2 linked regions of the Danio rerio genome follow. The protein of the gene in region 2 interacts with the protein of the main gene of each other region in a biochemical or structural test. Links are inferred from orthologs where the notes say so. Each region holds a gene or a part of one and is shown on either strand. Other genes may lie near its edges.

The links. The genes of interacting proteins can lie anywhere in the genome.
Region 1: the proteins of elk1 (region 2) and srfa form a complex in vitro, tested with the Homo sapiens proteins (2 studies listed by BioGRID). The link is inferred for Danio rerio from reciprocal best matches to the Homo sapiens genes ELK1 and SRF.

The regions. Positions count from the first base shown.
Region 1 is NC_133197.1:37,095,394-37,100,799, reverse strand, and holds the start of srfa (serum response factor a), read right to left. Parts: upstream 3,676-5,406; 5' UTR 3,353-3,675; coding exon 2,903-3,352; intron 1-2,902. UniProt on the Homo sapiens protein: SRF is a transcription factor that binds to the serum response element (SRE), a short sequence of dyad symmetry located 300 bp to the 5' of the site of transcription initiation of some genes (such as FOS).
Region 2 is NC_133183.1:10,294,124-10,299,079, reverse strand, and holds part of elk1 (ETS domain-containing protein Elk-1), read right to left. Parts: intron 2,745-4,956; coding exon 2,643-2,744; intron 1-2,642. UniProt on the Homo sapiens protein: Transcription factor that binds to purine-rich DNA sequences. Forms a ternary complex with SRF and the ETS and SRF motifs of the serum response element (SRE) on the promoter region of immediate early genes such as FOS and IER2.

The sequences.
Region 1 (5,406 bases), on a different chromosome or scaffold from region 2:
CTAATATCAGGGTTTCTGCAGGTTTCACCAAGTTAAATTTAAGACATTAAGATATTTCAGGACCAGTATGAATGAAATTTTAGACTCATAAAGAGCTAAAGGCTAAGGAAATTTACAAATGGCTCAGATGGAAAAGATTTTTATTTGCCCTATCAAAAGAAATTATAATAATTTGATGCATTCAATAGTACAATAATAAACAAATAATAAAGAATTCAAATATTTTAGATATTTATAAGTAAAATATTTTAAATATTGTGTAAAATTAAGCAAGCTCTACTTGTATCCATACAAGTTTTTTTTCCAACATAAACTTTCTTTAAAATAAAAAAAATGAACAAATGTTTTAAAAGTTTTAAAAACTATAACAAACCTAATCTATGCACAACAACCTGTCCAGGTCAGTGTCCTCAACAGTAAATACATGGACCACTTCTAAACAAATGTTATTACAAGGAAAATAATTAAACCATTATGATAAACAGAGTTAAAAATTAACTTTTAAATAATAATAAAAAAAAAGTTTAAAGTTGAGATGGATTGTTGGTGATTTTATGGGTTTTGGCCAGATTGGATAGCAATACATGAACAAATGAAAATTAAGACCTGTTTAAAAAAAGATTTAAGACCTACAACACAATATTTCAGTAAATTTGAGACTTTTTAAAGCCTACAACTTTGATTTTGAGATTTAAGAAAGGTATTTCTCAGCAGTATGATTTTAAGCAAATACTGGTACTTAAAAAGAGTTAGTATCTGAAATTTTACAATATAATCTAGTGATACTACTACTTCAATAGAATTAACATCAATGTTGTAATTTACACTGTTATTTTACAATAATAGAATCAGTTTCATGAGTTCAAACCATTGACACTAATATTATTAATGTTTTAAATGAAGTATTTTTACATTTAGTGGTAGAGTTTTTGTGAAGTGTTAGAATATGTATTAATTTAAACTATCTAAGCTAGCATCTCTACTGTAGCTCTAGGATCAATCAAGTGGAACTATTTCTATAGATTTAGTATCATATACAGGGCTCCCAGTCTAAACCAAATGTCAAAATATGTAAATTTTACTGACTAAATAGCAAAATGCTTGATTTCTGTGACGTCTTTAAGGTTTATTATACCTTCTGTTGGGTTGAGCACTGGGCAGACACAAAATATAGACAGTATTTAACAGGTAAAGCCTGGGGATTGCATTTTGACTTATGTGCATAAGGGTGGTTTTACATCTGTAGTTCGGTCATTTGGTCCGGACCAAGGGCAACAAATGACACATTGTAGCATTTTCTGCCGTTTTTGGGCCGTTTTCACACCAAATTGATTGCTTTAATCTGAACCAGTTGAAAATAGGGATGCAACGATTATAAATTTTGGTTGTACGCTTATAGTCTTAGAAATAATCACGGCTTTACAGTTATTTCGATTATTTGCATTAATTGATTTCAAAACCCCACTAGTTTAAAACTAGTTTAAAATTATTTTAAATGTTTTTTTTTTGTAGTTTGGGTTCAACTAAATATTTGTTGCCATTCTAATCGTTTAAGTTCACTTAATTGAATATCTAAAAATCAGTGGATATTATTGATGCATTTATTGGGTAAAATTGCTCATTCAATGTGTTTTTGGTCATTATCAATGCACTGGCTTCCTTCAAGTGGTACGCGGACTTCCTTCTAGTGGTACGCGGAGGAATCGCTGAATTATTCAAGTAAAAACTTTTAAAATTACATTTTAATTAAAACGTTGATGTTTTATTTATCTTTTTTTTACCTGTAAGTGTGTTATTGTTCAAACTTTTTATTATGTGGCAGACAATAATAAATATTTATAATACTAAGAATTAATTTGCCATGTTTGTAAGCGTACCGAGATCACCTCCTCTAAGGGGTCTTGCTATGCTTTTTTAGTCCGCTTTTGGTGCGCACTCGAGTACGATTGTTAGATTCACACCTGCCCAAACGAACCGCACCAAGAGGGAAAACGAACTCTAGTGCGATTCAACCGAACTAAATAAGGCAGGTGTGATAGCACCCTAGGACTTATGCCAGCTGACAAGCGGGAGAAGAATATAATTTGACTTTGAAAAACAAATTATAAATGTAAAGAAATAAGAAATACAACAACAATCCCTGTTATTCAATGACTTGGGCCAATAAAAATGGTTACACTTTATTTTAAGGTACAATTATTGTTATAAACAAACCATTAACTAAGACTTTTTTCTCACTAAGGTACTAATTTGCTGCTAATTAACTGTTAGTAAGAAGTTGGCTTTAGGTCAGAGGTCTCAAACCCAATTCCTGGAGGGCCCCAGCTCTGCACAGTTTAGCTCCAACCATCTCTAGCTCACCTACTTAATAGTCTCTACTAGTAGTAATACCTTGATTAGTTGAATAAGTTGTGTTTGATTACGGTTGAAGCAAAACTGAGAGCTGTGGCCCTCCAGGAATTGAGTTTGAGAGCTATGGTTTAGGTATTGGTAGGTTTAAGGATGTTGAATAAAACGATACTTTATAACTACTAAAAAACAACCAATGTCATAATTATAAATATGTAATAACCTAAAGTGTTACCAAAAAATGTATACAATTCCCTGACTTACAGGATGTGGGATAGAGCTTTTACAATTCCATGACCAGTGGGAATCCTGAATATAGTAATGTTAGTGGTACTATTATTTATACAGAATTAAACAAAGCACAATGAGGTAAATACTAAAGTTTACTAGAGTACCAGTTACTGAAGAACGTATTGGCATGGCACTACTAGTAGTTGTAGTGCTAATATTAGCATAGATGTTTAGCACTGGTGTAAAACTAGCATCAGTACAGCAGTAGAACAGCAGTGGTACAATCAGTTCCAGACTAACAGCAGAAGACACATGAACATACCTTCTTCATGATGCCAGTCTTTCTCTTGCTGAAGGTCGTGTATCTCCTCAGCTTGTTGTCAATAAACTCCATCTTAATTTTCACCCGTCCTCGCGTTTTCTTGCCGGGCTTCGCTCCGGCCACCCCGCTGGAGACCCCTCCGTATCCTGCCGAGAGTGCGGCGTTAGATCCAGAAGATCCCCCGACCTCCAGCTCGCTCCTCTCCCGCTTCACCCCTCTCCTGTCCGGCACAGGGCTCTCTTCATCGTCCCCGGAGTCTGAGTCTCCATCGGAGCCGCTCAGCACAGCCTCGACCGACGGCCCGTCGTCGTATCTGCCCCCATCGGGCAGGTTTATGACAGAGTTTACAGCCCCCAGAGCCCCAGATGTGCTGCCCACCTGTAGAGGTGTCAATCCCGTGCCATTACCAGAGCGTCCAGCCCCTCTGGCCGTCCCGTTGCCCCCTAACATCGCTGACCTGCAAGCGGCACTACGGCGGTCTGCGGTGGGTGTAAAGTTAGCGATCTGTGCAGCAGATCCCAGATCAAATCCAGACCCAAAACCGAACTTACCTCACATATGCTAGGCTAAGAAACATTAGCTCAACTCAGCGGACAACTTAAAGCAGGCAAGCGCTATTTCTGGTTACGGATGGATTTGTTTCAGTATGAAAGTCAGGATTTGAGGGTCTCGTAAACGACAGAAATAAACCTGCAAAACTAGCCCTTTACGACCACCGTACAAAGTTTACAACATATAGTTTCCGCCTACAGTCCATCAATCAAACCTCGACTGAACTTACGCTGCGCTTGCCACATTTGGAAACGACGAATCGCGACCGCGCAATGCAGCTCCGCCTTTAAAAATAGTTCTCTGCTTAAAGGTCGGTATTGTTTTAGATAATACGTTATTAGCTCATAAAAAGCACTATTTTGGTCAAATATTAAGTTTAACGTTTTCTGGGGAAAATAATTAGTAAAATATTGCTTATTTTGAGAATTTAACTCACGAGACGTTCGTCTATAGATCTACTTTCCTCCATATAAAGCGAGTCGATGTTTCCTTATATGGTGATGGCTGTCCATGTATGGTGAGTCACAGTGCTGCGCTGCGATTGGTTACGCAAACCTCTCCGACCCTGCGATTGGCTCATGTGTCATTTGGCTGACACAAATGATTTACGTCATACACAACGAACTAGCTAGCAAATGTGTTTTACCTCAGAACTGAATAGTAATATATAACGACAAAACGCCGCGTTTTTGAGGAGAAATATGAGAAAAGGTAAATCAAATGTACTTGATTGAGTTTTAAAACCTAATATAAGTTGACAGCGTGACCGCTTAATTTAAATTTAGGGCAAACTCGTCAAATTCAGCTCTGTGGGAGCTGTGCAAATGATGCGCTACTCCGTTTTACCAGCAGATGAAGCTGTTACGTTATATATTGGGAGATATAACATTAAGTCGTTTGGCTTTTTCATCCATATCACACTTACAAATAAAAATAATGTAATAAATAAAATAAACGTATTAGCAAACCTTTTAAATGTAGAAAAGGCTCAATGTTGTTGCTAAAGAATCGCCGTTTTAGAAGTTTAAAAAGTACATTTAAACAAGTTATACTCAAGTAATATGTATTTGAGGTAACATAGTGCTCAAATATGTTTCTCAAACACCTTTGTAAGCTATCCAACCTCACAACAAACTATTTTGGCATTTCTTTCCACTGATCAACTTACAAATAAAAATAATTACTTGCGTGTAATTTCTTCCATGATAGATATACAAATAATAAACTCCTTAACTCTTTAACTGCCTGCTTTACCAAATAGTTGACCATAATTTAACTGTTTTAAATAATGACTGTTAAACTAATTTACAGTTTGACTGTTTTAAATGATGGTTTACACACACAGCATTGTAGGTTTACAAAAAAATCAAACAAATAATCCTGTTGCACTACTACACTTGATTTTGGTTTTATAGTAAAACAACAACAAAACATGTTAAATGAGAATCTGAAATACTTTATGGTATACTTCAAAAAATAAAGATGATTTAGTTTATATATATATATATATATATATATATATATATATATATATATATATATATATATATATATATATATATATATATACATACATTTTTTTTAAATATAGATTGGCTTTACACTTCATATTTTCAGATTTTTTATAGTATATGTAATAATTTTGGTATTTTAACCATAAATCGACATATAAACAATTTGGTTGAGGTGGATATTTTAGAAATTATGGGATGTGTTGAAAAAAAATGCATTGAGTATGTTAACTAGCGACATTAGGACTTAAATGAAATTCCAATTTTTTCATGGTGGGGCATTTAAAGCGTTAAACAGAGAACAACTAACAACGCTGCCCTTATAATAGCTATGTTTTAAATATTTTGAATTGGGATGAGTTAATAAAATGATTTTAATCCAATACTAAACTGAAAAAGCGATGTTTCTCAAATGTCTTTGGTTCGAACCCAGTCACAATC
Region 2 (4,956 bases):
ATGTATTACTTTCAAAAGTAACTTTCTACAACTTTCACCTTATCACAACAGACAATTTACAAAATGAATGCTTGGAGTTTATTCACAATACAATTTCAATGCTTAAATAACCTGGTAAATGAAGCTAGTAAATAATATTGGTTTCTAGTTTTAATAAAATGTAAACTCAGCCCAACAAACATATCTGCCAAGACAGGCTAGGGTTAGGTTTATTGTGCCTGTTCTTTAAAAAAAACAACATGTACATATATTCATCCAATCTCTGTACTGCAGCTACAGTATAGTCCAGCAGAGGATGCTCACATGCTTTTCTTGGGGTCAGTCCAACAACAACAACAAAAAAACCTTCTCAAAAAGCAACACAATTGCAATCAGATCCATTATTCAAAGAGCCAAATTAAAGACGGTGAAATCGCTGAAATGCTGAGCTCTACTTGAGATTCATTCATTGATTTTTAAATGGAAGCAACACAAATATGGTAAAAGGTCAGCAATGCCTTCATGTATAATAAATTAAAAAAAGCTATACAACTTTCATTTCTGTTGCTAATGCAAACAATTCAGCATGAACGTGATTTACCTAAGGTGAACATCTTCTGTGCTATTACAGCCAATTAAGTTTTTGGACCTTTTTTTCTTTGAAGGTGCAACTGTAACTGGGCAAATCTATCTGCAAATGTTGCAGACTTGGCTGTTCCCTCAACTTAAAGAAGCAGCACGTCAATTCATATTCCACTAGGATGGGGCACCACCCCATTAGCACTTATCTGTTCGTGCCTAATTGAGCTAAAGGTACCAAAGCATTGTAATCAGCCACCAGGCAGCTCGTGACAGAGCACTTAATCTCTGGCCTCTAAGAAGCCCTGACCTCACCCCATGAGATAAGTTAAAGATATGGTGCCCTATCATACACTGAATTTATAAATAGTTTTAAAACAAATCTTTGCGCTTAAAAAACAAAATTAATTTTGTAGGCTAATGGATGCATGTGCGTACAACACGTTTCCTCATCAACGAAAGAGAAAAAATGAAAGTGAAAGTAAAGGCCGATTGGAGGAGGCTCATCTCTCATTCTCCCACTGCAGATGCTCTGTTTAACCGTTTTCTCACTAGTGAAGCATTCAGTTTTTCCACTTACAAAGTCTGCCATGTAAATAGCAAATGCGCTATGGCACCACGCAACTGACTCTTAAAGGGAATGCAAGATGAGGCTCTGATTGTTTTTTTCTCAAAACACACCTATAACTCATTAAGAGAATAAGCTCAACCCTGTTAGACTATGCAACGCGACGCAGAGCCTATTTTTCCGTCCTTAAAATAGCAAAAGTGGATTTGGAGACACCCTTTTGCGCCCTGTGCATCAGACTTTGTGCCTAGATGGTTAAAATAGAATCCATGGTGTTTCGCCCACCTCTACCAGCTAACATTGAGGAACTAAAAGAAGGGATAACTGCAGCTATCCAAACTGTTACGCCCGAGATCCTATGGAGAGTGTGGAATGAATTCAAGTATCGGAGTGATGTCACTCGAGTGCCTGTAGGGAGTCATATTGAACATCTATGAATTTGTTTTCGACTGAAAAAAACTTTAAGTACTCTTCACATTGATTAATTACCAAATGGTCAATCATGTTTATTTGATTAAATACAGATTTTCAAAGTTGTCATTCTTTTTGAATCACCCTTTATTATAGCAAATTGGAGCAATAGCAAAATTTAAATAAATGATGTGTGTTTACAAGTGTGGGAATAACTGGCTAGCTTTAAACAGCATGGCTCATATATTCAGATGTGTCATCCAAAAATTATTCCTTCTAATGGCTCGGTTTCTTTTTCCCGCCAGAAATAAAAAACATTTAAGAATAAAAAAAAGAAATCAACAAATAATTAAGAATAAAAATGATCACAAGACTATTTGGTCTAAATTAAAACTTTATTTCAAACAAAAGAGCCCTTTTATTCAACATATTTTGTTTCCTCCATGCCAAAAAGCTTTCATTCCTCAACTGCAAGTAGTCAAAGTCAAAATGATTAGTCCTTCTGTGAATTTTTCTTTTCTTTTTCAAATATTTCTCAAATGATGTTTAACAGAGCAAGGAATTTTCACAGTATTTCCTATAATATTTTTTCTTCTAGAGAAAACCTTATTTGTTTAATTTCTGCTAGAATAAAAGCAGTTTTAAATTTTATTAAAAAAACATTTTAAGGTCGATATTATTAGGCCCCTTTAGCAATATTTTTTTCTGCTCGTCTACAGAACAACCAGCGTTATACAATGACTTGCCTAATTAATCTAGTTAAGCCTTGAAAAATATCAAGTCGAATATTATGTACTGTCATCATGACAAAGATAAAATAAACCAGTTATTAGAAATGAGTTTTTAAAACTATTATGTTTAGAAATGTGTTGAAAAAAATCTACTCTCAGTTAAACAGAAATTGGGGACAAAAATATACAGGGGGGCTTGAGTTGAGAAAAGAAGATGTATATCAAATGTTTATGGTGTGGTGTATTCGCTGGTTATGAATGGAGTGGGCAGAGAGTACATTCTCAGCCATGTGATGCGCTGAGCGAGTGTGAGGAGACAGATGGTGTGCTGCTGCCATGCTGTGGACAGAAACTGTGTGGACAGGAAGTCTCACCTGGAAGGAGAGCTTGGCAGGGCTGCGTGGAGCGATAGGACTGAGCGTGCTCCAGAAGTGAATGGTTGATGGCAGCGGACTCGGTGTCAGCAGCACTGGAGTCTGAGCGGGAGAGAAAAGGGAGGGAGACAATTCAAGAGGTTGGTTGTATGTGTGTGTGTGTGTATGTGTGTGTGTCATTTTACAAGGTCATTGTGTTATTTCTCTTTGTTTTTGGTTATCTGGTAACAGAAGTGTTCAGTATCTCTCTGCCTTTGTGAAAAATCCCATTGAGAGCTTGCAGCATGTGAAGCACCCTTTCACACAGCACAAATGCTATTGTTGCCTCACACACACACAAAAACACAAGATATTTCAGATAAACATAAAAAGTACAGCCTAAGCAAAGATCTGGCTCTTAAAAACGCAGGTAGGACTTCAATGAAAATCTGTAAGATAACGCTTAAGATCTGTGATCAGTCATTTATCAGTCATTGTGTTGAAATCAGAGTGGTCAAACTGATTAAATAGTTTTTCCTGAGGTGTACAAGTCTTAATAATGAAATTGTGAGCAGCACAAATCCAATCCCACCACATTGAGCAACCAACATTTTTAATAGTCTTTTCTACCCTATTAAAACATATGCAAGTAAACCCACTTCTTGGACAAGTAAAAAAAAAAGAAGAAAATTTGAAATATACTTGCGGTGGTAGGCGGATTGAAACACATCTTTTACCCACAGCACATAGATGGTCAACTACATGCGACAAACGAAAAAGTAATGTGATGTTAACTATATTTTTATTTAATGGGACCCTGTTTAACACCTTTTCTTTTTCGATGGTTTAAAGTTATTTAAAAAAAAGGCTGTTGAAATGAAAGAAATCCACCATTTTCTTACTTTTAGCCCATTTAGGAGCCATGTGCACCCACAGACAGGTAAAGACTGCTCTCTCTCTCTCTCTCTCTCTCTCTAAAGTTGCTTTATTGGCATGACATTTTGTACAGTATTGCCAAAGCATTTAAGATTTGTATTAAGTATGTAATATAATAACATAATTAAATTAATAAAGTATACAGCAAATGAGAAATAAATAACAGTAAAAAGAAACAAAAATAGACATTATTGCTAAAAGTTATAATAATTACAAGAATGAAAAGTTAAATTATTTAAATGAGGCAAATTAGTTGATTAACATTTTCGCAAACTTTTGTTGCAAAAGGTGCGTCTCTGTGGGTCTGCAGAGCATGTTTTTTTAATAATAATTTTTTTTTATTTTCTTTTTTTAAACAATATTATGGTAGCCAAGAGCTTAACATGCTGTAATTTTATAAAAAACATGCGCAATTACAATAAAACACCAGCAAATTGAGAAAAGATTCTCATCGGTTTGACATCAAACATGTTGCAAATCCACACAACGCATACACGTAAGGAAAAGAGGCTGCATTTCTCACAACACATGCAAATAGCATGGAACACAACGGAAATGTTTCATGGGGACCCTAAAAATGCGACAATGAGTTGTCTCTCACTATAACGCTGTTCACATTTCGGGGCCTCGCAGTTTCGTGGATTTTTTTTTGTGTGCAATTTGGCTTTTTATTTTGCAGCACATTGTGTTCTGTGTTCTGATTGGCCGTAGGCCATTGTCAATCAGTGTCTGTGTCTCCTGTACAATACAGAATGTGTTCAGCTTGCCAAATTAATATAAATCTTTGATCGCTAACAGTGTGAGTTTCAACAAGGATGCAAAAAGGGTTGTAACTGTCTGCAGCAAGACCATTGTAAAGGGGGTCACACACCGGATGCGCTTCGCCATGACCCACTGCGCAGCAGCCATGCATTTTAGAACTGTAAACATAGGTTTATGTTAGGGTACGCACACTGGCGCCGCAAGTCGTTTGCTGTCTGTGGTGTCCAGCTACAATTCAAGACACTGTTCATATTTCTACCGTGCCACAGAGAGCCATATGAATAATTTCATTTCAAATAACATGCTAATGTGCGAGTCTGGTGTGTGTTACTTCCAACTGTCATGTGTGGCGCATCCGGTGAGCAACACCCAAAGGATGAATTCTGCTTTCTCTTTGTGGATCAGTGACTACAGGAAAAAGAACATTACGCTGGATGCCAAAATAATCCACACAAAAGCTAAAAAGTTTTATGAACCTTTTGCTGACAGCAGTGAATGTTTGCCCCTGACAACAGGTTTTGATCTTTGATTTCATTCAATAGCACTAGACTTATTTTTCTATGAAAGTTTGAACTTTGAGAGTGTTTAATCAAGAGAAAAAAAGTGTAAAAATGTTAATGCCTGTCTGAAAAAAGTG